3 linked regions of the Stegostoma tigrinum genome follow. The protein of the gene in region 1 purifies or fractionates together with the protein of each later gene. This does not show direct contact. Links are inferred from orthologs where the notes say so. Each region holds a gene or a part of one and is shown in the gene's direction. Other genes may lie near its edges.

Region 1 (7,216 bases):
TTTCAGAATTTTGTAATTATTATTAATAAAGCAGATATATTCAGTTTTAGGATTGGACAATATGCAATATCTCAAAGCATCTATTCAATTTTACAAAAGAACTGAACTTCTGGCTAATGGCATAATTTCACTGTTTTGGGTTTAACATTTTATCACAAATTCTAAAAATGATGTCAAAATGCATATTAAAACATTTCATAGCATCAGGATCACTTACAACTTATTCCTTATTCAAAGACTATTGAAAGACTTCATATATTGTGAATAGCTTTGGATCGTAATATTTTCATATTTTGAATCATTAAAGGCAGTGGTTTCATATCCTGCTTTTAAGCATTAATGTACAGTTTGATGCAAAATGCTACAGGTAGATAAGTTCAGAGTCATACAGCAAGGAAACAGACACTTTGGTCCAACTAGTCCACACCGAACATGTTTCCAACCTAAACTACTTACAACTACTGCATTTGGCTCACATCCCTGCAAACCTTTCCTATTCATGTACCCTTGTAACTGAACCTGCAACTACCACTTTCTCTGGAAATTCATTCATACAATATCCACTGTGGAAAAAAAAATGTTGACCCTCACGTTCTTTTTAAATCTTTCTCCTATCTTAAAAATGCCCCCTAGTTTTAAATTCCACCAGCCTAGAGAAAAGACCCTTGTTATTCTCCTTATCTATGCCCCCTCATGATTTTATAAATCCCACTAAGGTTACCCCTCAAACCTTCAAAGATCCAGTAAAAGCCTCAGTCTTCCCACTCTATTTTTATATCTCAAATCCTCCATTCCCGGCAACATCCTGGTAAATCTTTGTTGAAACCTCTCCAGTTTAATAATATCCTTCCTATAGCAGGGCCACCAGGACTGAACACAGTACTACAGAAGAGGCCTCACCAACGTTCTGTGTAACCTCAACATGACGTCCCAACTCCTATACTCAAAGATCCGAGCAATGAAGACAATTGATTATTCAGACTTTAACGTTCATTTTGATTTCAAAGCTCATACAGCTCAGAGAACATTTAAGCTGTCTTTCTCTTAAAAATGTATTAGAAGCTTGCATAATCTGGTTTATAGTGAACAATTAAATAATTCAACAATTCTGTAACCAATTAGCAAAAAAGTAAACTTAACTAGATAACAATATAATTCTTGATTAAAAAGATATGGTAAGAAAAGTAAAAGTCCCATTAGACAATGAAAGAATTATCAATTTTAGATAATGTTGATAATATTGTTTTGGACTAAATGCAAATCCTAATTTGAAGACTCCAATATATAAAGACATGATCCTCTGTTAATTTCATGCAGTTGTTTTAGTTCTAATTCTTGAAAACAAAACAATCTAATTTGAAGCTGTTTAGACTTAAAACTAGTTCATGTAGTTAACAATGTACTAGTCACATTGTGTTTACATGCCCAGACAATAATTTAGAAATGTTATTTCACAACTTTAGTTGCATTCTAACTGTTTTATGTTTTGACAGAAAAAAAGGAGGCACAAAGGAAATGGAAAGAACATAATCTGATTTTTATTTTTGTGAAGAATATTCCAAGTAACTTTTAAATTACTTTTCCATCAGATTCTTTGGAAACATTGCCTAATGTTATGAATTTTGTTTGAAATATTTCAATAAGCTACAATTATTTGCTTTGTCTAAATATAGGTTACATTTTTCAATAGTATTGAAAACAAATATCACAGTATACAATGCTTTAAAATGACAAAATTAATTTACTTTTGTACTGAATTTATGACGAAGTTACACTTTAATATATATTAATCTATTAAATCCATTGTCAAAATTACCTTGGCTATAATAAATTTGTGCAATATTTTAAAATCACATTATTTGCAAATATTTTGATCAGGTTTAAGCTTCACTGTTATTTATCCTTGTAGAGCGATGGTTTTACTCAACAATAAATAATTTCAAAGTAGTTAAGGAATTGCATTTGTATTGTTAATCGTGACTACAATATCTACACAAAGAATGAAATGTGCAACGTGCAGAACAAAGTGAGATTTGCTCTCACAAAAAGTAAGTTGATCAATTCAACATGTTTTTAATACATATTTAGAAGATAAAGAACAAAAACCAATACCCTATAAGCTTTTCAAAAGCGTTGAAATGGTTATAGAGGTGGCATTGCTTTATATTTTCTTAAATCTATGCGGCTCTCTGTAGAACCACTGATGTTTTAATTTGAAAACAAAACTTCAAATGTGTTTATTCAAAGTACTTTACCATTTTTAATGTATGTTTTCATGTTAAAACATTAAATATTAAAACAGTACAACATATAGGAATTTAAGATAATTGAAAAGTCAACATAAAGACTTTTTACTGAAACATCGAGTTGTTATTTGACATTTTGTTTGAAGATGGAAACTTATAATAACATAGTGCACTTTAACTGGTAATAAGAATTTAGTTTGACATCAGTTTTTCATAATTTCAAAATGAACAACATTGACACCTCTGGTATTTGAAATTGATTTAAGTAGAGGTGGATGATTATGGGGAATGCAGACGAAGCTTTAAGGAACAGTAGAAAGTGTGAACTTTGTGGTAGAACAAAGATTTGAAGCATATCACAACTATAATAGAACATATTAACTTAGTTTTTCTCTTCTGCCACAAAATAAGTTCCAAAGTGTCAGATCTTGGATATAATAATCTGTTCATAATGTATTATTTCTTTAACAACAATTTTTGGGAGTTTTTTTAAACAATGAAGCTCTTATAAAGCCCTACGTTCTATTTGCCCCTCCCCCAGTTTGAATTTTCATTTAAAGTGAAGCTTTGGTTATTGAATTGACCATTTAAACATGGTAATCAAATTAAATGGATATTTTAATCTTTCAGTAAGCTGGTAAAAGATATATGAAACAATTTATTTACTTACACCACACAGTAATTTCCCCCAATGAGTCCAAATGGGACGGCACACCACACGATTAAAAATTAATACTCAACCGAATCACCAAATTAACATTTTCTTTTTCCTTGGCTAGTCCGATTATCAATCGCACTAAACACGCAGCAAATACAATTTTAAAAGTATTTTGTAAATCAATTACATCAATAAATACGGCATATATTTGACTTCAATCCACATACTTCAATTTCCCGAAGATTGCTATAACGTTCCAGGAATTATAATCGGCAAACGGAACATGAAATCGGAACAAAAGATTTTGAAGCAGTTAACGTAAACGAAATAGCACGATTAACTTCAGTTTTGAATTTATGAAAACGTGCTAAGCGCTCGTACGCTACCTATCATCTAGTCCATTAAAGTGGACAGCTAGAGTCATGAGGAATGATCGCAAGGTACAACTTCATTCACTAACGATTATTTTATTTTTATAACGAAATTACCCCCTCGTGCCGGGCGGGGAAATTATTAGATGCGTCCGTAAAGAGCGAAGTGGCTTTGCACAATTTTTAAATCGACAATACCGAACTTCACACATACGCGATTGCCAACAAAGGAGACGGGTTTGAATCTCGGATGTAGATTTTCGTTCGTTCTGAACACTTCCGCCAATAAAGTTGTGCAATGTGAATTTAGTTAGCTATTTTTCCAAAAAACGAAAACGTTCTTTTTTTAAGAAGAACTGCGCCAACGACAGCTCAGCACGAGTTATTTTAAAAAATAATTCTGATACGCTTTTATTTTTTTTAACAAAACTTGCCTGTGGGCACACATTTAAACAAACGACCTTTGAAAATAAATCAAAGACCTGGAGTTCCAATATTTTATAGAGGTAACGTCGCCTCGTGTGAACAATAGTGGAGTTGCCGAATAGCGTAAGAAAACGTCGAAACTGCTACAACTTTCAAAAGATCACTTTCGACCAACATTTCAATGAGATAATGTAATTACCCATTCAGTGGATCCCATCAACCAACCAAAATCTGGGGGTAAAAACGTCGTTTAATAATAAAAGAACAACGTCTCCAATAATAAAGGAGCAGCCATTGCAACGTATCGGTTTTGGCACGACCCGATTAGACATCTCCTGAACACGGTATCGTTACCACATTATTCAGCTTTAAACAGGGAGGGGACGCAAAAGATGGGCAGATCACAGCGAAAATGCACTCCCTCCCCCGCCTCGCCTCACACAACCAGCCCCAACCCCCACCGATCAACCAGACCAATAACTCGCATAACCATCACCACATTGGGGAACTGCAACAGTCAGGAGAATTTTCGCGCCATCGCCCTTGTAAATGGCAGCCTGATCTAAGCCAATGAATGAAATTTGCAGGCAGAGAGGGAGAGAGAGCAAAAAAAACTTGGTCAATGGTAGCGAGGCTGGAGACGCTTGATAGGATCCTAGAGTCAAGCTGTGTGCGAATGAGAAGACGGAAAATGGGAAGAGGGAAAAAAATGGAGAGCGCTCCAAACTACTATTATTCCACAATCAATATGTTTCTCGGATTCTTGGAGTACAGCTCGTCCCTCCCTCCGTTTCTCTCCCAGTATCATTGAATAGCTGGCATTCCTCACGTGAGAAGTTGATATTAGTTTGACCACGTGGCTCATTCAGCCGGAATATTCGGGGATTTTTTGGAGCTGCATTTTATTCAGAGGCGGTGCTAGTAGTAACGTAGTGTGACATTTTCACAGCCTGTTTGCGAAAGGGGTTTTGGGGGAAAGACAAAAAAATAGTTTTTTTCTCTCTCCGAAGCCCGCCATTCTAGACTGCTAATACTACTTCTGGGGATTTATTTTATCATCGCGTGTATTTTTTTTGTAAGGACTCTTCTCGCTCCCATCTTTATATTTAAATCGACCGATTATTTCTCCAAAGGGAAGATAAGGACGGAAGGATCTTTGTCTTTTTTTTTGCAGTTTTAGCAACATGAACAAGCTGTACATTGGGAATCTCACCGAAAACGTAACCACTGTGGACTTGGAAAGTCTTTTCAAGGAATGGAAGATTCCCTTCACTGGACAGTTTCTGGTGAAATCTGGTTATGCATTTGTCGATTGCCCAGATGATAACTGTGCTATGAAGGCGATAGATACTCTGTCAGGTAAGCGAGTTAATCCCTTGTAGTCTAATATTACCTCAAGTTTTGAAACAAACAGTCGTGAACCTTGTTTGGTGGGAGGCCTAAGGCAGCTCCTTGCGCACCAGTTTCGCACAAATCGACTGGGGGCGCGGGCGAGACGAAGCTGCTTACACCCGTGTGTTTTGCAAATATCCACTCCTCGTATCTACACCTAAACTGGATTTTCTTGTGACGTTCGCACAGAAATTGGGTTTCTTTTTAACCTAATCTAAATAACATTTGGAACCCCCACCCGTTATTCCTCTGCATCTGCACGCGGTCTTTTCTTTCCCCCATTGAATTGTTACACTTCAAGCGTTCAGTGGATTGACAGTAACTATACGGGGATGCATTCTGTACAGGATTCTTTAATTTGTCAACTCTTTATTGATCTTGTGTAATTGGGCTGGGGTCGGAGAATTCGGCCCGTGTTGTTGTACCTTCTTGGTGAGAGTAGGCCTTTAATAACTCCAGCGGCAGCTCGGAGCCATCATTCAAATCAGTGCGCACCGGGAAAGGAATACGCACTTCAAATCTTATACTTCTGACAGAAATAAAGACAAATGAAAGCTCACTATCCGAAAACTATTGACAATATCAATTTTTTTTTCATTCGTTCCGTCCCCCAGCGCGAACGCATTTGTAGTCGGCCATACTGAGTCCCAAAAGTGTCCTTTAGCACTCGACCACTAGAAAAATGGCTGAGAATTAGAGCACAGCAATTGAGTTCACGTTTTCTTAAAAAAAAATTTCAAATTGTACTTGTTCATATCAGTTTTGTGACTACAGTTGACCGACTCCTTTACGTTCTACGCCGAACTTTCTTGTCGACACTGTTCCGAGATTTGTAACATAGTTGCCCAGCAAGTTGTTGTTCAACTGCAAACCTAACGCTTAAGATCAACAGAAGATAATTAAAAATAATCTTGGCTGAACGGTCGATTTTAAACGTTTTCAAGTGCTTAATACGCATTGTATTTTGTGCTTTGCTTCAGGTAAAGTTGAGCTGCATGGGAAATCTATAGAAGTGGAGCACTCCGTTCCTAAACGACAAAGGTAAAAGAAACTTTAATTCGTATCAGATTTCTTTCCGATCAGAGAGAATTAGACTACAACTGACTAATTAGCGATTATATCTGTTTGGAATTCAAGGTTATCTTAAACCCTACGAGTCTCTGGGATCCGTCTACTTAAGTTAGAAACTAATTACCGTTTGAATCTCGGATACTTTTTTTAAATGTCCCTTTGTACTTTTGTTTTGGTTTCTAGTTGAATTCTTTTATTTCTTTTATATATCACTGGAGTATTTGATCAAAAATATTTTATTTGAGAAGACACCAGAACACACTTCTAGTTTTAAAACGAGACCTGGTGCAGTGTTTTTTGAGAAGTTTGGGCGTCAGCAGGAAATGATCTGAGATGCTTTGCATCATGCTAATCGACAAACACGTGAGGAGCTCTCAATTTAAGAGCCAACAAAACGAAAATCACAATTCAATGTTTCCTCTATTGTCCACGAAATGTAAGAGATCATTTGATAGGGAAGGGAATTAATTCTTGTGTATTTGTTGCTTCACGTGAACCCTAATGTGCAATCGATTGTTCATCGATCTTAAAACTGTGCATTAAGATTATTCAAAAATGTTGTTACCAAAATATATAATTGATATTGTATGGAGTGTTGAGGTTAAACATCAATATTTCACTCTAAGGCTAATTTGACAGTTCTAAAACAGGATTTAATAGCTTTAGAAAGCAATGCCAACTGTTGGCTTTTTAAAATAAAGATCACTATTGGTTTGAACGTTCCATATGGATTGATAGAAGTTGAATTGTTTGTCACAGGATGCTTTTGTAATACAAAAATTACTAGGTTAGTTTTTGACCTATTTCCTCACCTGGCTGGCTTCAAGTTTCTCAGTAGAAAAAACAAACTTTTGAGGACCAGACTTAAAATGAGATTTGATTTCATTCACTCTTCAAAAGATGCCTCCATTCTTTGTGCTTCAGCTTTTGGTTTAATGTAACTTTACAGATTTACATGGAGTGTCATGAGGTTACGTCTGAAGGTTGTTGAAAATGCTACATTTGTGTGTGAGAGAGAGAAATGCTTGAATGGGCAAAATTTGGCATGGGAG
Region 2 (7,772 bases), about 20 Mb from region 1:
GAAGTACCGTAAAGAGATTTGCAACAGCAATTGGGATGGTGTGAAAAGTCAAGAGTCCACAATTACTCCCATAGAATTAGTATCAAAATCTAAGCCAATGTACAAGGATTTGTGCCCGTTATGAAAGACTAACCCTTTTGATAATAAATGGCATTGTCATCTAAACAATCTTAGGTTTGCCAAACTCTGAAATGCAAAAGGAGATTGTCTAACCTATTGAACTACTAAGATTCCAACTACAATTTCATTTTATTTTTTAAGTCACCACGCTAGCGCATTTGCTTTAATTAAGCAATGTGGAAATAGGAGAGAAAATGCTTCAATCTCTCTCGTGCTTGGCATGAGAAGTTTCCAGGTAGTGCCCCTGGGCTAAGGAGGAAAATCTGACCATACAGGCAAATACTGATTGCAGTAGGAGTTGCAAACAAGTATGAATGCATACATACGTTCAGCAGGAACTGAACTAAATTCATCTGAGAGATTCCCTTTCTCTAGGATGCCACAGTCTTAAAAAGTTAAAAACCATTTCGCTAACTCAGTACGAAGGTGACTTAGAAATAACTTGCTGCAATTTACCTTGCAATAGTTACAAAGCCTGTTCCTCTCCTTTCCATCTAAAAACCAAAATGGACAAAATACTATTGCCTTACGACTGTCCAAATATCTCACACACAGACACAATAATGGGAGTGAAAAAAACCCTGGTGACCGCTTAACTTTTTTTTGAAAATGGCGAAGAGATTTCTTCACTGGCTCAATACACTCATGCATCAAATAGATGCACCAGGCAAATCAGATGTCTGAGGATAGAAGTGCATTCAGATAGCCAGTACTAAAATATATGACTGATTTGAGTACCTCTGGGTTAAGATGGGCAAAGAGCATGAGGTCTTCACAACCCTGGTGTGCACATTATTATTAAAAGGAACAAAATTAAGTTTAGCTAGGAATTCCCTTTTCCAGTTTGTGAATATAAAACTTTAAGGATCATACACAAATAAATGTCTGAGCAAGACACAGGAAAGCATTTTCAAATCTGCAAACTAGCAATAGAGATTGAGGGTAGCAGTGGAAAAAGGAAAAAAAAGTGTCAGAATTTATGCCCTATAGGGTATCCTGAAATCAAAACATTACTACAATCAATAAATATTATCACTTTGTCATTAATGATTAAACCCAACAAAAGCATTTCAACAACACTCCTATCCCTTCAAGTTTTAAAAACTAATTTAAACTGAGTTGTGAAGGAATTGGGTAGGTAATAAATTTATCTGCCTTCTGTTCAACAAAAAAAAGTGCAATAATGAGAAAATATTAAATGCTGGTTTGTCAACAGTTGATTCCATAGCCAAGTATAATCATTCAATTGTATCATTCACATTTTATGAAATTACAGTAGCAAACTTTTGTTTTTAGTATTGGCCATACTTGGGTAGAAGGGATTTAAAGTAATCTTGCTGCGAAACAAACAACTTATAAAATACGCAGATCTAAATTTCAGATTTCCATTATTCACAATGACATTTTTTTGACTACAGTTTAGAACTTCACGGTACAAAAGTAAAATGGGCAAGTGGAGAAGAGTTTCACTGCTGAATTCAGTCCAAAACTAGGTACAGCTTTCAAAGGAGGTAAACATGGTGGAATGGGTGGCATTTCTGCCTCTAGGCTAGAAATCCTAGCTTCAATGATCCCACCAGAACTTAAATGACTAAGAAAGGAATAATCATAAAATGGCCAAACAGATTGAATGTCACCCTGTAAATTTCTCCAGAGAGTATGTTAGCTCACTTGGTTGGATGGCTGATATGTGATAGAGAACAACACCATCTTCGTTCAATTTCCACAATGGTTAAGGTCACGAATACATAGTGACCCAAGCTAAAGTCACCTATCAGTCACCTTTCTCTAATGAGGGAGCAGCTTTATGGTCCTTTGGGACATTAGCAGCATTACTTGCTTAAATCCCAGCAGCATACACCAACAAGCAGTTAGAATGGGAAAGACTCCTCGTCAGCCCTGTAATGGAAAGAACTTTGGAGCCGCTACCATCATGTGCCTATCATTCACACCTCCAAACTACAAAATGCACACAGGAGTGCATTTTATCGTAACAACCCAAGCATGGAGTAAACTGTAACGTACCACCACATTGCAGAAGTTGCTTTACTGTCAAGATAGAAGTTAGGAGAGCATATTTGCAGAAGCTTGCAACTTCAGACAAATATTTCACAAGATGTTTTTGTTAGACACATTACTGCAAGGATATTTAGCATATTTAGGTTCCAATAACAAATCTAATATATAAATGAGCATTTTTTTCCTAGCTCCACTGAACACATCCATGATATTCCCCACTTACTAGCTCTATGCAGGGTCCTTATCCAGCTGCTGACTATGAGAATTTGAAGTTTTTTTTTGTTTGATTTCAGCAGATCCTTAATTCACAATTATAAAAATCTGCCATTTTGTAACTCTTTTAATCAACTCCAACATCACAAGTGGCACAATAACTATCTGCTGAAGAGTGTCAATTGTGTGTTGAAAAGTCTGTGTCCCAAGATAAATTGTTAACCTCATTCTGAAGTCAGAATGGCACACCTGGGACCACAACAGGAACTCAGATTTTCATTGTTTGGGGCCTAGGAGTATATGAACAAATTTTAATTTGTTAATTTAAATATGGTCAAATGGCTAAATACTGTAAATGGGATATAACATGATGCATTTTCTTTTTATTATTTGTAAACATGGATTAACTCACTAGTAGAAACAAGGCTAATAGGAGAAAAAAAGGAATCTTCAACCGTGGTCATCTTCTACTTTGTATCCGCCTACTCAAGCCCCTAGGAAAGAATAATCAGCAATTGCTCACATGTATAAAGTCAGCATTTCAAACATTACATTTTGGAGTAAACATGATAGTAACTATTTGAAAATGTGTTTAAATTAGAAATACGTTTAAATAGAAAAGGGATACATAGTGCAAGATGGCAAAGGTTATACCAACCTAATCATGATCAGTCATATGAACATAAACATTCCAAAAGCAAAAATACAAACCAATTCCAATGTAATTACTTGCTCTTGTGTAGCATTTGATTCAAATTACAGACTTCTATCTAATAATCCCAATTGTTTTAAAAAAACAAACTTCTAAGCCAGATTTTAAAAAGTTAAAGTACAGCAATAAAAAAAACCAAGAACATTAAACTACTCTTACTCTTTGAATTCAAAATTATCTAACATATATAAAACATCTAACATTAAGGAACACTAGGTCACCATTTTACATCTTCCTAGTTTCCAACCCCCTCCTCATACCACAACGACCAGACTAAAAAAATGCGACAGTAGCAAAGAATCGTTTCATAATGAAAAATAAAGAATGCGCACTTCGTAAGAATGCTAAGGTTCAAGTCCTGAATTTCCACATACAAGGATCCTATTAAATCACAAAAAAATGCCAGTTACAAACTGATAACTAAACACCGATATTTACAGTATTAAAACACAAAGACTTCCGCACATTAAGGAATTGGAGTCTCATTTAAACTACCTTTTAACTCATTACCTCAACCTTAAATAAATAACCGGCGCAGGAACAGCGACAGAAGATAAAATCCAAGGCAATTGTTAACAAAAGTTTATGTCAATCTCTTAGGTCTATGAATCAAAGAAGGTGCATTTCCCCCCAGTTTACAGGTTGAAACCCGACCTCGCCACCCACCCGACAGGGGCAGGCAGAGAGTTCACAAGTCCTAGAAACCTTCACGACCAAAACAAATGAACCACGGCCTCCTTGGATTGTTACACGGACTTCCGTTCGCTCCCGCCACTGGCCAGGAGTTTGGGCCTAGATAATTTTGGTGTACCCGACTCGATTGAGATGGAAGTTTTAAAAAAAAAATCAGCTTGTTGGTTGATTGCTCTCGAGCGGCTCTGCAGTGCTACCAGGCCCGCACTCCGCGCTCACTACGAGTCAGCGGATGGAAGTAAGAGTGAAGCACTGATCGGCTGGCTAGCTGGCGCACTAGCTGCTGCCTGCCCTACCTGCCCAATTCAGTCCTGATGTGCTCCGCTGGCTGTCCGGACTGCCCGCCCTCTGTCTCTCTATTTTTCTTTTCCACTTTTTTTTCCTCTCTCTTTTCCCCCTCTCCCTCTCCCTCTCTGAGGTTCACTCGGTCCCGCCAAAACACGCGCTGACACAACGCGCTTGCGCACACCTCCAACCAGCACTCCCTCCGTTTTCCAAAATTTATCGAATAACTTAACATAAACTATTCACGAGTACACGCCTACGAGGCACAGAACCAAACCTAGATCTTTTAAATAAAAAAAATACAGTCCTTATCGAAACACTAATCATTTCGGAGCCAGCCCACCCGCCCGTCACGTGACCAAGAATCACTTTTAGGAAATTATTTTGGCAGATTGTATTGAACTATTCAACCGAATATTGACTGAAAAAACGATAATGTCCCACGAAACAAAAATGTCTGCGATATACTTAAAAATTCGATTTCTAAATTGCGTCATACCCGAAGCTGTTTCGACTTTTTCCCTTAGAAGCCCCTGAGGCTTAATTAGTGTGTTCAATTAAGGGTGATACTTCTTTTAAAAATAATTTTTCAGATCTGTACTATAAACAAATTTTCTTTTATTTTCGGAAAATCTTTTTCGATCCTCGTCCGGTTTCGTCACCAAATTTGCCGTTGGCAACTTGGCGTCACGTGACTAACGAACGGCCATTTTGTAGGACTGAGAGAAGGTTCTAGAAAATTGAGCGGCGACGGTGGTGGCTGTGTCGAGGAGGCTGTGCGTCACAGCTTGTCTGTTTACTCGTTTTTCTTTAGATATAACGCAATTTTTTATCGATATAGCGTTGTTTACGAAGCGCTTGAGTTGAAGTATAGCATTTTTATTTAAAAATTATTTTTTCGAGCAGGATGGAGGTAAGGGATAGAAAAAATGAGGGTTGGGGAGGGTGGCGTAGCGTATTTTTTTCAGTGTACAATTTTGAAAGGTTTGATTTGAGATCCTATGGTGATAGAAGCAAATGGGGATGCCGCGCCGAAAATGGTGGGTAATCGCAGCCTGTTTGCGGGCTTTACCGTTGCTACTGGGAAGCAGGAGTCGAGTGTAGGTGAAATATATGGGGGATATTGCGCTTCTCGGGTCTTTCTCGATATTTTACAGCAGTTTTTTTATGTCAACTCGTCCGTTGATATCTAAAGAGAGACTTGTCTTGCTTCTTGAGAAGTTTGAATGTTCACTAACATTTCAGGATTGAACCCGATTTTTTAATAAACGGTAATCTCAAACGTTCCATATTTGCGTTACGTTTACTATACCATCTAGAAGGTTTGAATCTTTTCAATACCAAAAAAATTCAGCACACACACACTTGTCTTTGCAGGGGAGTTGCTGAAGGCAATTATAGAATGAGCACTTAGTGTTTTATGCAGTTCTGAATCATTGTAGAGACTAAAAAGCCTTCCTGGAAGGTGACAGGTAAAGTGGGTAAATTGGTTCTTTTGTATAGGAAAGGTGATTTCAGAAACGTCTTGGGGGAAGATGACTTGAGATAGATTGGATTAAAAAGCATCAGAAAAACCTACCAAGAGAGAATAAACTGCAGGAGATTTGGGGGGGGGGGGGTGTGCAAAAACAGTAGTTTGGAGGGTTTTTGCATCAACTGTAAGCCTCCATGATGCACTTCTCACTGATGCCTGAGAAGTGCTGACAACATTCACCCTACATGAGCAGCAGTTCCTACTGAAGTTGTAAATCCCCGTGGCCAGAGGGCTGAGGTGTGTAGAATTACAACACTGTTCTCTTAATCTTGTTACATTGAACTGTATAGAAGACCAAAAGTAGAAATTTGTGTATTTAATGAGTTGCATTTTACATGCCTGCTTTGGAATCCCAGGTCTGGCTTTAAGTCCTATTTATAGGGCTTGTGTGCATCACATCAGGCTGATGCTCCAGCGGGGAGTCTTAACCTGCCAGAGATACCACTTTTTTTAATGTGATGTTAAATAGGTGCTGGCTGTCCTGTCAGATGTTTGAAAATAAAGTGGGGTATTTTCTTGAGAGACAACCATAGAATTACTCCTGGTTAATATACGTTCTTTGTCAAAATCACAAACATGTGGATGTGGTGTATATGGACTTCAGCAAGGCATTTGATAAGGTTTCCCATGGTAGGCTCATTCAGAAGGTAAGGAGGAATGGGATACAGGGGAACTTAGCTGTCTGGATACAGAATTGGCTGGCCAACAGAAGACAGCGAGTGGTAGTAGAAGGAAAATATTCTGCCTGTAAGTCAGTGGTGAGTGGTGTTCCACAGGGCTCTGTCCTTGGGTCTCTACTGTTTGTAATTCTTATTAATGACTTGGAGGATGGGTCAGCAAGTTTGCAGACGACACAAAGGTCGGAGGTGTCGTTGACAGTATAGAGGGCTGTTGTAGGCTGCAGCGGGACATTGACAGGATGCAGAGATGGGCTGAGAGGTGGCAGATGGAGTTCAACCTGGATAAATGTGAGGTGATGCATTTTGGAAGGTTGAATTTGAAAGCTGAGTACAGGATTAAGGATAGGATTCTTGGCAGTGTAGAGGAACAGAGGGATCTTGGTGTGCAGATACATAGATCCCTTAAAATGGCCACCCAAGTGGACAGGGTTGTTAAGGAAGCATGTGGTGTTTTGGCTTTCATTAACGGGGGATTCAGTTTAAGAGTCGTGAGATCTTGTTGCAGCTCTATAAAACTTTGGTTAGACTGCACTTGGAATACTGCGTCCAGTTCTGGTCGCCCTATTATAGGAAAGATGTGGATGCTTTGGAGAGTGTTCAGAGGAGGTTTACCAGGATGCTGCCTCTACTGGAGGGCTTATGAAGAGAGGTTGACTGAGCTCGGACTTTTTTTCATTGGAGAAAAGGAGGAGAGGGGACCTAATTGAGGTATAACGAGAGGCATAGATAGAGTTGATAGCCAGAGACTATTTCCCAGGGCAGAAATGGCTAACACGAAGGGTCATAGTTTTAAGCTGGTTGGAGGAAAGTATAGAGGGGATGTCAGACGCAAGTTCTTTACACAGAGTTGTGAGAGCGTGGAATGCGTTGCCAGCAGCAGTTGTGGAAGCAAGGTCATTGGGGTCATTTAAGAGACTGCTGGACATGCATATGGTCACAGAAATTTGAGGGTGCATACATGAGGATCAATGGTCGGCACGACATCGTGGGCTGAAGGGCCTGTTCTGTGCTGTACTGTTCTATCTGGTTGTCATCACATGTTGAGAACTTTGCCTGTAAGTTGGCTATCAAATTTCCTGCATTACAACAGGATCTACACTTCAAATAGAACATAGAACATAGAACAGTACAGCACAGAACAGGCCCTTCAGCCCACAATGTTGTGCCGACCATTGATCCTCATGTATGCACCCTCAAATTTCTGTGTCCATATGCATGTCCAGCAGTCTCTTAAATGACCCCAATGACCTTGCTTCCACAACTGCTGCTGGCAACGCATTCCATGCTCTCACAACTCTCTGTGTAAAGAACCCGCCTCTGACATCCCCTCTATACTTTCCACCAACCAGCTTAAAACTATGACCCCTCGTGCTAGCCATTTCTGCCCTGGGAAATAGTCTCTGGCTATCAACTTTGACTAAGGCACTTTGGGAGACCCGGTGGTCTTGAATAGCGTGGCATAAATGCAAATGCTTCTTCATAGATGTTTGTAAAGAGCTTGTCTATTTTGCACTTG
Region 3 (7,950 bases), on another chromosome or scaffold:
CTTTCTGACCCACAGACCACAATCAGTCAGGGTAGGTAACTACACCTCACAGAACATAGAACATTACAGCACAGTACAGGCCCTTCAGCCCTCGATGTTGTGCCGACCTGTCATACCGATCTCAAGCCCATCTAACCTACACTATTCCATGTACGTCCATATGCTTATCCAATGACGACTTAAATGTACCTAAAGTTGGCGAATCTACTACTGTTGCAGGCAAAGCGTTCCATTCCCTTACTGCTCTCTGAGTAAAGAAACTACCTCTGACATCTGTCCTATATCTTTCACCCCTCAATTTAAAGCTATGCCCCCTCGTGCTCACTGTCACCATCCTAGGAAAAAGGCTCTCCCTGTCCACCCTATCTAACCCTCTGATTATTTTATATGTTTCAATTAAGTCACCTCTCAATCTTCTTCTCTCTAATGAAAACAGCCTCAAATCCCTCAGCCTTTCCTCGTAAGACCTTCCCTCCATACCAGGCAACATCCTAGTAAATCTCCTCTGCACCCTTTCCAAAGCTTCCACATCCTTCTTATAATGCGGTGACCAGAACTGTACACAATACTCCAAGTGCGGCCACACCAGAGTTTTGTACAGCTTCACCATAACCTCTTGGTTCCGGAACTCGATCCCTCTATTAATCAAAGCTAAAACACTGTATGCCTTCTTAACAGCCCTGTCAACCTGGGTGGCAACTTTCAAGGATCTGTGTACATGGACACCGAGATCTCTCTGCTCATCTACACTGCTAAGAATCTTACCATTAGCCCAGTACTTTGCCTTCTGGTTACTCCTACCAAAGTGCATCACCTCACACTTGTCTGCATTAAACTCCATTTGCCACCTCTCAGCCCAGCTCTGCAACTGATCTATGTCTCTCTGCAACCTACAGCATCCTTCGTCACTCTCCACAACTCCACCGACCTTAGTGTCGTCTGCAAATTTACTAACCCATCCTTCTACGCCCTCATCCAGGTCATTTATAAAAATGACAAACAGCAGTGGACCCAACACCGACCCTTGCAGTACACCACTAGTAACTGGTCTCCAGGATGAACATTTCCCATCAACTACCACCCTCTTTACCCATAGCATTCAACGAAGAGAAATAGATCCTCCTGTTGCAAGACCGGCAGGTCACATTTTATTCTTGTGAAATAAATTGACCCCCTTTTTGGAAGGATTTTTTGAAGCTACAAAGTCCAATTTACACGCTGTCATCTATGATAATGGAACATAGATCTTGACAGTACTCATTTTAATTTTGTTAATGATATAATAACGTTCCTCTTCAAAAATTAGGGAACGATACCGTCTGAAAACAAGATTCTTTTCTACACACGCTGTCACAATTGATGCCTTTCCTCATTTCCAAGAAACATGCATGGCCTTTGAAACAGGTGTTTAAAAAGAATTGAAGTAACCAGTTTTGTGGCCCAGCACATTGTTACCTGAATAGGTCATGGAAACAGGTCATTTTTCTACTATGAAAGTATAGTTTCTAATATATTTCAGTATTTTTATTGGTTTTCCAGAAAATGAATGCCTGAATACACCCTATCTTTCACCTTTCTCTATCTCCCTTTCTCTTTCTCTCACTCACCCTGTTTCTTTCACTTATTTCCAATTCTGGCTTTTTTATTTCGCTTGGCAGTACAAAGAAATTTTCTTTATGATCCAGATATATGTGCCGAAATGTTTATGATATACACCAAATGGCAATTTTGGGGAATGTGGAGATCAGAGTTCTAGACAACCTTCATTTTCTCAAATGACTAAATGAGTCCATTTCTTTTGAGTAGAACTTTATCACTGTTACTATCAGCTGGAATTTCTGCCTAATATGAATATTGGATGGCTTATTATGTGTTCTACATTTTGCAAATCACAATGCAATTTCAATGATACCCAGCTGCATTCTAACTGCAACTAATATGAACAACTTCTTCATATTTTGTTTTAAAATGTATAAGCTCTTATCTACAATAACACTCAACACTGAAGCCCCACACCCCCGCCCCGACCCGGGATGCAGCCTCAGCCCTCTACTGTGCTCCCTGTACACCTACAACTGTGTTGCCAAATTCCAAATAAAATTCCCTTCTACAAGTTCACTGATGACATCAGTCAACTGGGACGCATATCTAACAACAACGAGTCAAAATGCAGAAGGGAGACAGACCTCTTGGTGACGTGATGAAAACAATCTGTCTTTCAATGTCTGCAAAACTAAAGAACTGATCATCAACTTCAGAAAGAAGGAACGAGAAGTTCCTCGGAGTCACAAAAACCGATAACCTGTCCTGGACCTCCTACATAGATGCGACAGTCAGAAAGGCACAAGAACGCCTCTTCTTCCACAAGCGGTCAGGAAATTTGACATGTCCATAATGTCCCTCACCAACTTCTACAGATGCGACACTGAAAGCATCTTGTCTGGGTGCAACTGCTCTACCCAGGACCATAACAAACTACAGAAGGTGGATGTGCACAGCTCAGCCCATCATGGAAGCCAATCTTCCATCCATTTACACGGCTCACTGCTGCAGAAAGGCGACCAACGTCATCAAAGACCCATCACAGCCCAGTAATGATCTCCTACAGCCTCTTCTGTCAGGCAGAAGATACAGAAGCCTGAACACGCGCAGAAGCAGATTCAGAAACAGCTTATTTCTTTACCAGACTGTTGAATGGACTTTCGACTCAAATAAAGTAGCCCGTATGCCTCTAAGTCTTGTTAATCTCTACATCCTTTGCTTGGTGTGATCTGCCTGTACCGGTCTTAATTAGAACTTTTCAGTGTACTTTGGTACATGTGACAATAAATCAATCAATCAAATAAAAGTCTCTCTAAGTCCTTTTGTACTTTGATTCGTCTTCGTTAGATATCTATCCCACTATGGTGTGTTGTCAGCAAAATTGTAGATGGTGTTCGTTCAAAATTTGCAACGCAGCTGTAGGTGTACAGGGTTAAGACCAGTTAAGCGTTTATGTTCCAACCCTCTTGAGATAAACGATAACACTACATTCACTTTCTTAATCACGGACTCTACCTGCAAGTTAACTTTTATAGAATCCTGGACCAACACTCCCAGATCCCTTTGTACTTCTGCTTTGTGAATTTTCTCACCGTTTAGAAAATAGTCCATGCCTGTATTCTTTTTTCCAAAGTGTAAAATCTCACATTTGCTCACATTGAATTTCATCAGCCATTTCCGGGACCACTCTCCTAAACTATCTAAATCTTTCTGCAGCCTCCCCACCTCCTCAGTACTATCTGCCTGTCCACCTATCTTTGTATCATCAGCAAACTTCGCCAGAATGCCCCCAGACCCTTCATCCAGATCATTAATATATAAAGTGAACAGCTGTGGCCCCAACACTGAACTCTGCGGGACATCACTTGTCACTGGTTGCCATTCCAAAAAAGAGACTTTTATCCCAACTCTGCCTTCTGTCAGACAGCCAATCGTCAATCCAAGCCAGCAGCTCACCTCGAACACCATGGGCCCTCACCTTACTCAGCAGCCTCCCGTCAGGCACCTTATCAAAGGCCTTTTGGAAGTCTAGATAGATAACATCCACTGGGTTTCCCTGGTCTAACCTACTTGTTACCTCTTCAAAGAATTTGAGTGATATTGAGTGGAGTGTTATTGTGGAGGAGGTGCAGTTACCAACCTCACTGATTGTGGGCCAGAGGGCGGGACCGCGGTCAAGGTCACACAGTTTTGGTCAGAAGTTACACGACACCAGGTTATAGTTAAACAGGTTAACTCCAGAACACGAAATAAATCTGTTGGGCTCCAAGCTGGTGTCACGTGGCTTCTGGCCTCGGCCAGTCCAACACGAGCACCTCCACAGGTGAAGGTTTGCGATCAGCCCGGAGGGAGAACGATGTTGAAGGTGGAGTCAGCAGGGGCCTGGGGTAAGTGAGCTCACTGAATGGCGGGACAGGCTCAATGGGCCGAGCGGCCTCCGCCAACCTCTGATTTTTTTTGTTTGGTCCAGAACTGCGCCTCCCATAAAGGGGCCAAAAGGATCCTCCTGGCTCCGTCCCCGCCTCACACTAAAACTATCCCAGTGCCGAAGGGCCTGAAACCGACAAAACCGCTCAGCCCCGCCCCTCAGGTTAAACATTTACCGGGGGGGGGGGCAGGTTAGAGTGTGACACCCGGGGGGGGGGCAGGTTAGAGTGTGACATCCGGGGGCAGGTTAGAGTGTGACATCCGGGGGCAGGTTAGAGTGTGGCACCCGGGGGGGGCAGGTTAGAGTGTGACACCCGGGGGGGGGCAGGTTAGAGTGTGACACCCGGGGGCAGGTTAGAGTGTGACATCCGGGGGCAGGTTAGAGTGTGACACCCGGGGGGGGGCAGGTTAGAGTGTGACATCCGGGGGCAGGTTAGAGTGTGGCACCCGGGGGGGGCAGGTTAGAGTGTGACACCCGGGGGGGGGCAGGTTAGAGTGTGACACCCGGGGGGGGGCTGGTTAGAGTGTGACATCCGGGGGCAGGTTAGAGTGTGACACCCGGGGGCTGGTTAGAGTGTGACATCCGGGGGCAGGTTAGAGTGTGGCACCCGGGGGGGGCTAGTTAGAGTGTGACATCCGGGGGCAGGTTAGAGTGTGACACCCGGGGGCTGGTTAGAGTGTGACACCCGGGGGGGCAGGTTAGAGTGTGGCACCCGGGGGGGCTGGTTAGAGTGTGACACCCGGGGGCCGGTTAGAGTGTGACACCCGGGGGCTGGTTAGAGTGTGACACCCGGGGGCTGGTTAGAGTGTGACATCCGGGGGCAGGTTAGAGTGTGACACCCGGGGGGGCTGGTTAGAGTGTGACACCCGGGGGGTGTAAGAGGAAATCCCATCGTGTGAGACACGCGGGAGCAAGGGGCAGAGGGGACCGGATGTAGTGTGACGCTGCGGGGAAGCGGATAGAATGTGACTTTGGAGGAGGCGGTTTGGGGGTGGGGGGGACCGGTTAGAGTGTGACGCCGCGCTGCCGGACACTTCCTCCTGACGCACACGCGGTAACGGCCGAGCTCGGAGCCGCCGCCTCTTTCCCGGAGCCGGAGCCGCAGGTACCGGGGGCGCGGGAGGGAAACCGGCCGGAACCTTCCGGCTCTCGCCTCTGCGCGAATCTGCCCGCTCCCTGCATTGATCTAGCGCCCAGAGCCTGAGCAAAACCTTCCCCCGAATCATCCGTTCCTCCCCCCCCCCCCAGCTTCAACCCCCCCCACCCCCCCCGCTTCAACCCCCCCACCCCCCCCGCTTCATCCCCCCCACCCCCCCGCTTCATCCCCCCCACCCCCCCCGCTTCATCCCCCCCCCACCCCCCCCAGCTTCAACCCCCCCCCAGCTTCAACCCCCCCCACCCCCCAGCTTCATCCCCCCCACCCCCCCGCTTCATCCCCCCCCCACCCCCCCCGCTTCATCCCCCCCTCCCCCCTGCTTCAACCCCCCCCCCACCCCCCCCAGCTTCAACCCCCCCCCAGCTTCAACCCCCCCCACCCCCCAGCTTCAACCCCCCCCAGCTTCAACCCCCCCCCCACCCCCCCCAGCTTCAACCCCCCCCAGCTTCAACCCCCCCCAGCTTCAACCCCCCCCCGCCCCCCAGCTTCAACCCCCCCTCCGCTTCACCCCCCCCACTCTACATCCCCCACACCCAACACTCCCCACCCCCCTTTCACACCTCCACCCCCACTTCACAACCCCCACTCCATTCCTGCCCTCCTCTCCAGTCTTACCCCCCCCCCTCCCAGACTCTCCAGTACCCCCCCCCCCCCCCCCCCCCCCCCCCCGGAGATCCTGAACGGTCTTGGCGGATTGTATGTGGAAAGGATGTTTCCTTTTCTGGGATTATCCTAAACTAGATTGAAAATGAACAACTTGTCATTTAAAACAGACAAGGTGTAGCTGTCAGAGTAACTCCCTTCCTGAGGTGGTGGTGGAAACAGCCTTTAAATACATTGAAGGCAGAGGTGGAAAGGTGAGGAGTAAAAGGTTTTTAGGTTTAGGCAGGAATGTGGAGTAATCAGATCTGCCACAATCCTGTTGAGAGGCCAAGTGGCCGCCTCCTATTTCAATGTTCGTAGAGTCATAGAGATATACAGCATGGAAACAGACCCTTCAGTCCAGTTCGTCCATGCTGACCAAGTTTCCTAAATTAATCTAACCCCGTTTGCCATGAGCTGCCAGAGGAAGTGCTGGAGGCTCATATAATTACAATAGTGTGCTTTACAAGCTTTGATGGAGGCATGGAAAGGGAACAAGAAATTATCAGGCCATAAGGAAAGAATGCCAAAATGTAATTAATTGGAGAACTCCTAAAGGAAAATGGTGCCTTGCATAAAGTCTGATTCTTTATATACTTTGAAGGGTGTAATTTCATTAGAGGCTGTTTGTAGGAGGCTCACCACATTAATTCCAAAAATGAGGGGTTTGTTTTATGGAGAGAGATTGAGCAGTTTAGAAGAATGAGAGATGATCTAATTGAGGTTTACAAGATGCTACAGTGGGTTGACAAAGTAGACAGAGCAGATGTTGTGGTGCATTGGAGAATGAGAGGTCATAGTTTTGAGACTACAGGGTGGCACATTTAAAACAGATGAGAAATTACTTCCCCAAAGAACTGTCAAATCTGTGGAATTCACTACTCCAGAGTGAGGTGGACACCAGGACACTAAATAGTTTTGAGGAGATGGACAGATTTTTGATTAGTACTGGGTCAAAGAGTTACATAGAGCTGGCAGGGAAGGCCAAGATGAGCTCAGCCATGATTGTATTGATTGGCAGAACAGGCTCGAGAGGCTAAATGGCCTACTCCTGCACCTAGTTCTTATGAAATAAAAGTTGTGTGGGAGATTAGTGTGAAACAGCAATGCATTTCCTTGGATGGTATATCCAGGAAAAAAATCCTGTTTTTGACCAGTTTTTATTATCTGAATAAGGTCCTTTGCACTGGATGTAAATGTTTTACTACATTTACAATGCAACACAAATGTTGAATGTTTCTCTCCTTCAGACTGCTAATGCTGAGGTACTCACTTCTCTCTCAGTCACAGCAGTGAAAAGTAAAAAAGCTCTTAGTGATGTTATTATTTCCATAAATTTATAAGCAAGGGTAAATTTATTTGCTGAAGTAATGGAGCTATACTCAACCCTACTCAGTAATCAGATTAAAATAATTTAAACATTGCAACTTATTTCAAAATGATCGGGTAACATGTTTGACCAAGGCTTCCAATGAGTTGACCACATTTTGTTCAAGTTTACTAACTGTTTTCTGAGAGTGTGTTTTAAACCCTAGCTTTAAGATCGGGGCTTCACTGACAGAATGAGATCACCGATGTGCACCCTCTTGGTGTGTTGTTAGTCAGGAGGTAAAACGCAAGCATATTCATGTATGTATATTCTTCACGTACGTGGACACGTTCAAAATTGATGTCCTGCTCTATGGTTCAGTTGATATAATCTGCTCTTTCCTTGCATCATTTCGTTTTGACGGTACATGTTGCCATGTTGTCAAAAAGCTATCTTTATGGACTGAAGTCATGGAAGGTGTTGGAATAAAGTGTGAGAAAGGTTGTTGCTAAAATACAAATATTTAGCTCAGAGGACCTATAATTCAAAGTTTCATAACTGAAATGATTCAAAATTGTGTATGACCGCAGTACCACATTGTTCATTAATTCATATTAGATTGTTTTTGAATTCAAAAACAATCTAATTTAGATTTGCCCTTTGAGAAATTGCAGTGTTGCTGGGGGCTGCATAGTTGTGACATTTATGTTCCCGTTTCGTGGTTTACATGATACAAGTTGGACATTTGTATCGTACTTGCTCGCTTACTTCATTTCTAATGTCTTTTTGGGCTGGTTGTCAGGTGAGAGTGGGAGAATGTAGTGGTGATTATTTATGCTTATTTGACACTAGCGTTTATCTAACAGAGTAAGT

Evidence for each region. Proteins that work in one complex are often made in the same cells at the same time.
Region 2: the proteins of igf2bp3 (region 1) and heterogeneous nuclear ribonucleoproteins A2/B1-like purify together in Homo sapiens (affinity purification with mass spectrometry; 4 studies listed by BioGRID and IntAct, with this or other methods). This does not show direct contact. The link is inferred for Stegostoma tigrinum from reciprocal best matches to the Homo sapiens genes IGF2BP3 and HNRNPA2B1.
Region 3: the proteins of igf2bp3 (region 1) and g3bp2a purify together in Homo sapiens (affinity purification with mass spectrometry; 3 studies listed by BioGRID and IntAct, with this or other methods). This does not show direct contact. The link is inferred for Stegostoma tigrinum from reciprocal best matches to the Homo sapiens genes IGF2BP3 and G3BP2.

What each region holds. Positions count from the first base shown.
Region 1 is NC_081355.1:76,370,977-76,378,192, reverse strand, and holds the start of igf2bp3 (insulin-like growth factor 2 mRNA-binding protein 3), read left to right. Parts: upstream 1-4,211; 5' UTR 4,212-4,530; intron 4,531-4,536; exon of another isoform or gene 4,537-4,875; 5' UTR 4,876-4,885; coding exon 4,886-5,060; intron 5,061-6,073; coding exon 6,074-6,134; intron 6,135-7,216. UniProt on the Homo sapiens protein: RNA-binding factor that may recruit target transcripts to cytoplasmic protein-RNA complexes (mRNPs). This transcript 'caging' into mRNPs allows mRNA transport and transient storage.
Region 2 is NC_081355.1:56,506,911-56,514,682, reverse strand, and holds the start of heterogeneous nuclear ribonucleoproteins A2/B1-like, read left to right. Parts: upstream 1-4,753; 5' UTR 4,754-4,949; coding exon 4,950-4,955; intron 4,956-4,988; exon of another isoform or gene 4,989-5,813; intron 5,814-7,772. Other genes in the region: chromobox protein homolog 3-like, read right to left, coding at 2,765-2,816. UniProt on the Homo sapiens protein: Heterogeneous nuclear ribonucleoprotein (hnRNP) that associates with nascent pre-mRNAs, packaging them into hnRNP particles.
Region 3 is NC_081354.1:2,799,214-2,807,163, forward strand, and holds the start of g3bp2a (ras GTPase-activating protein-binding protein 2), read left to right. Parts: upstream 1-4,931; 5' UTR 4,932-5,075; intron 5,076-7,950.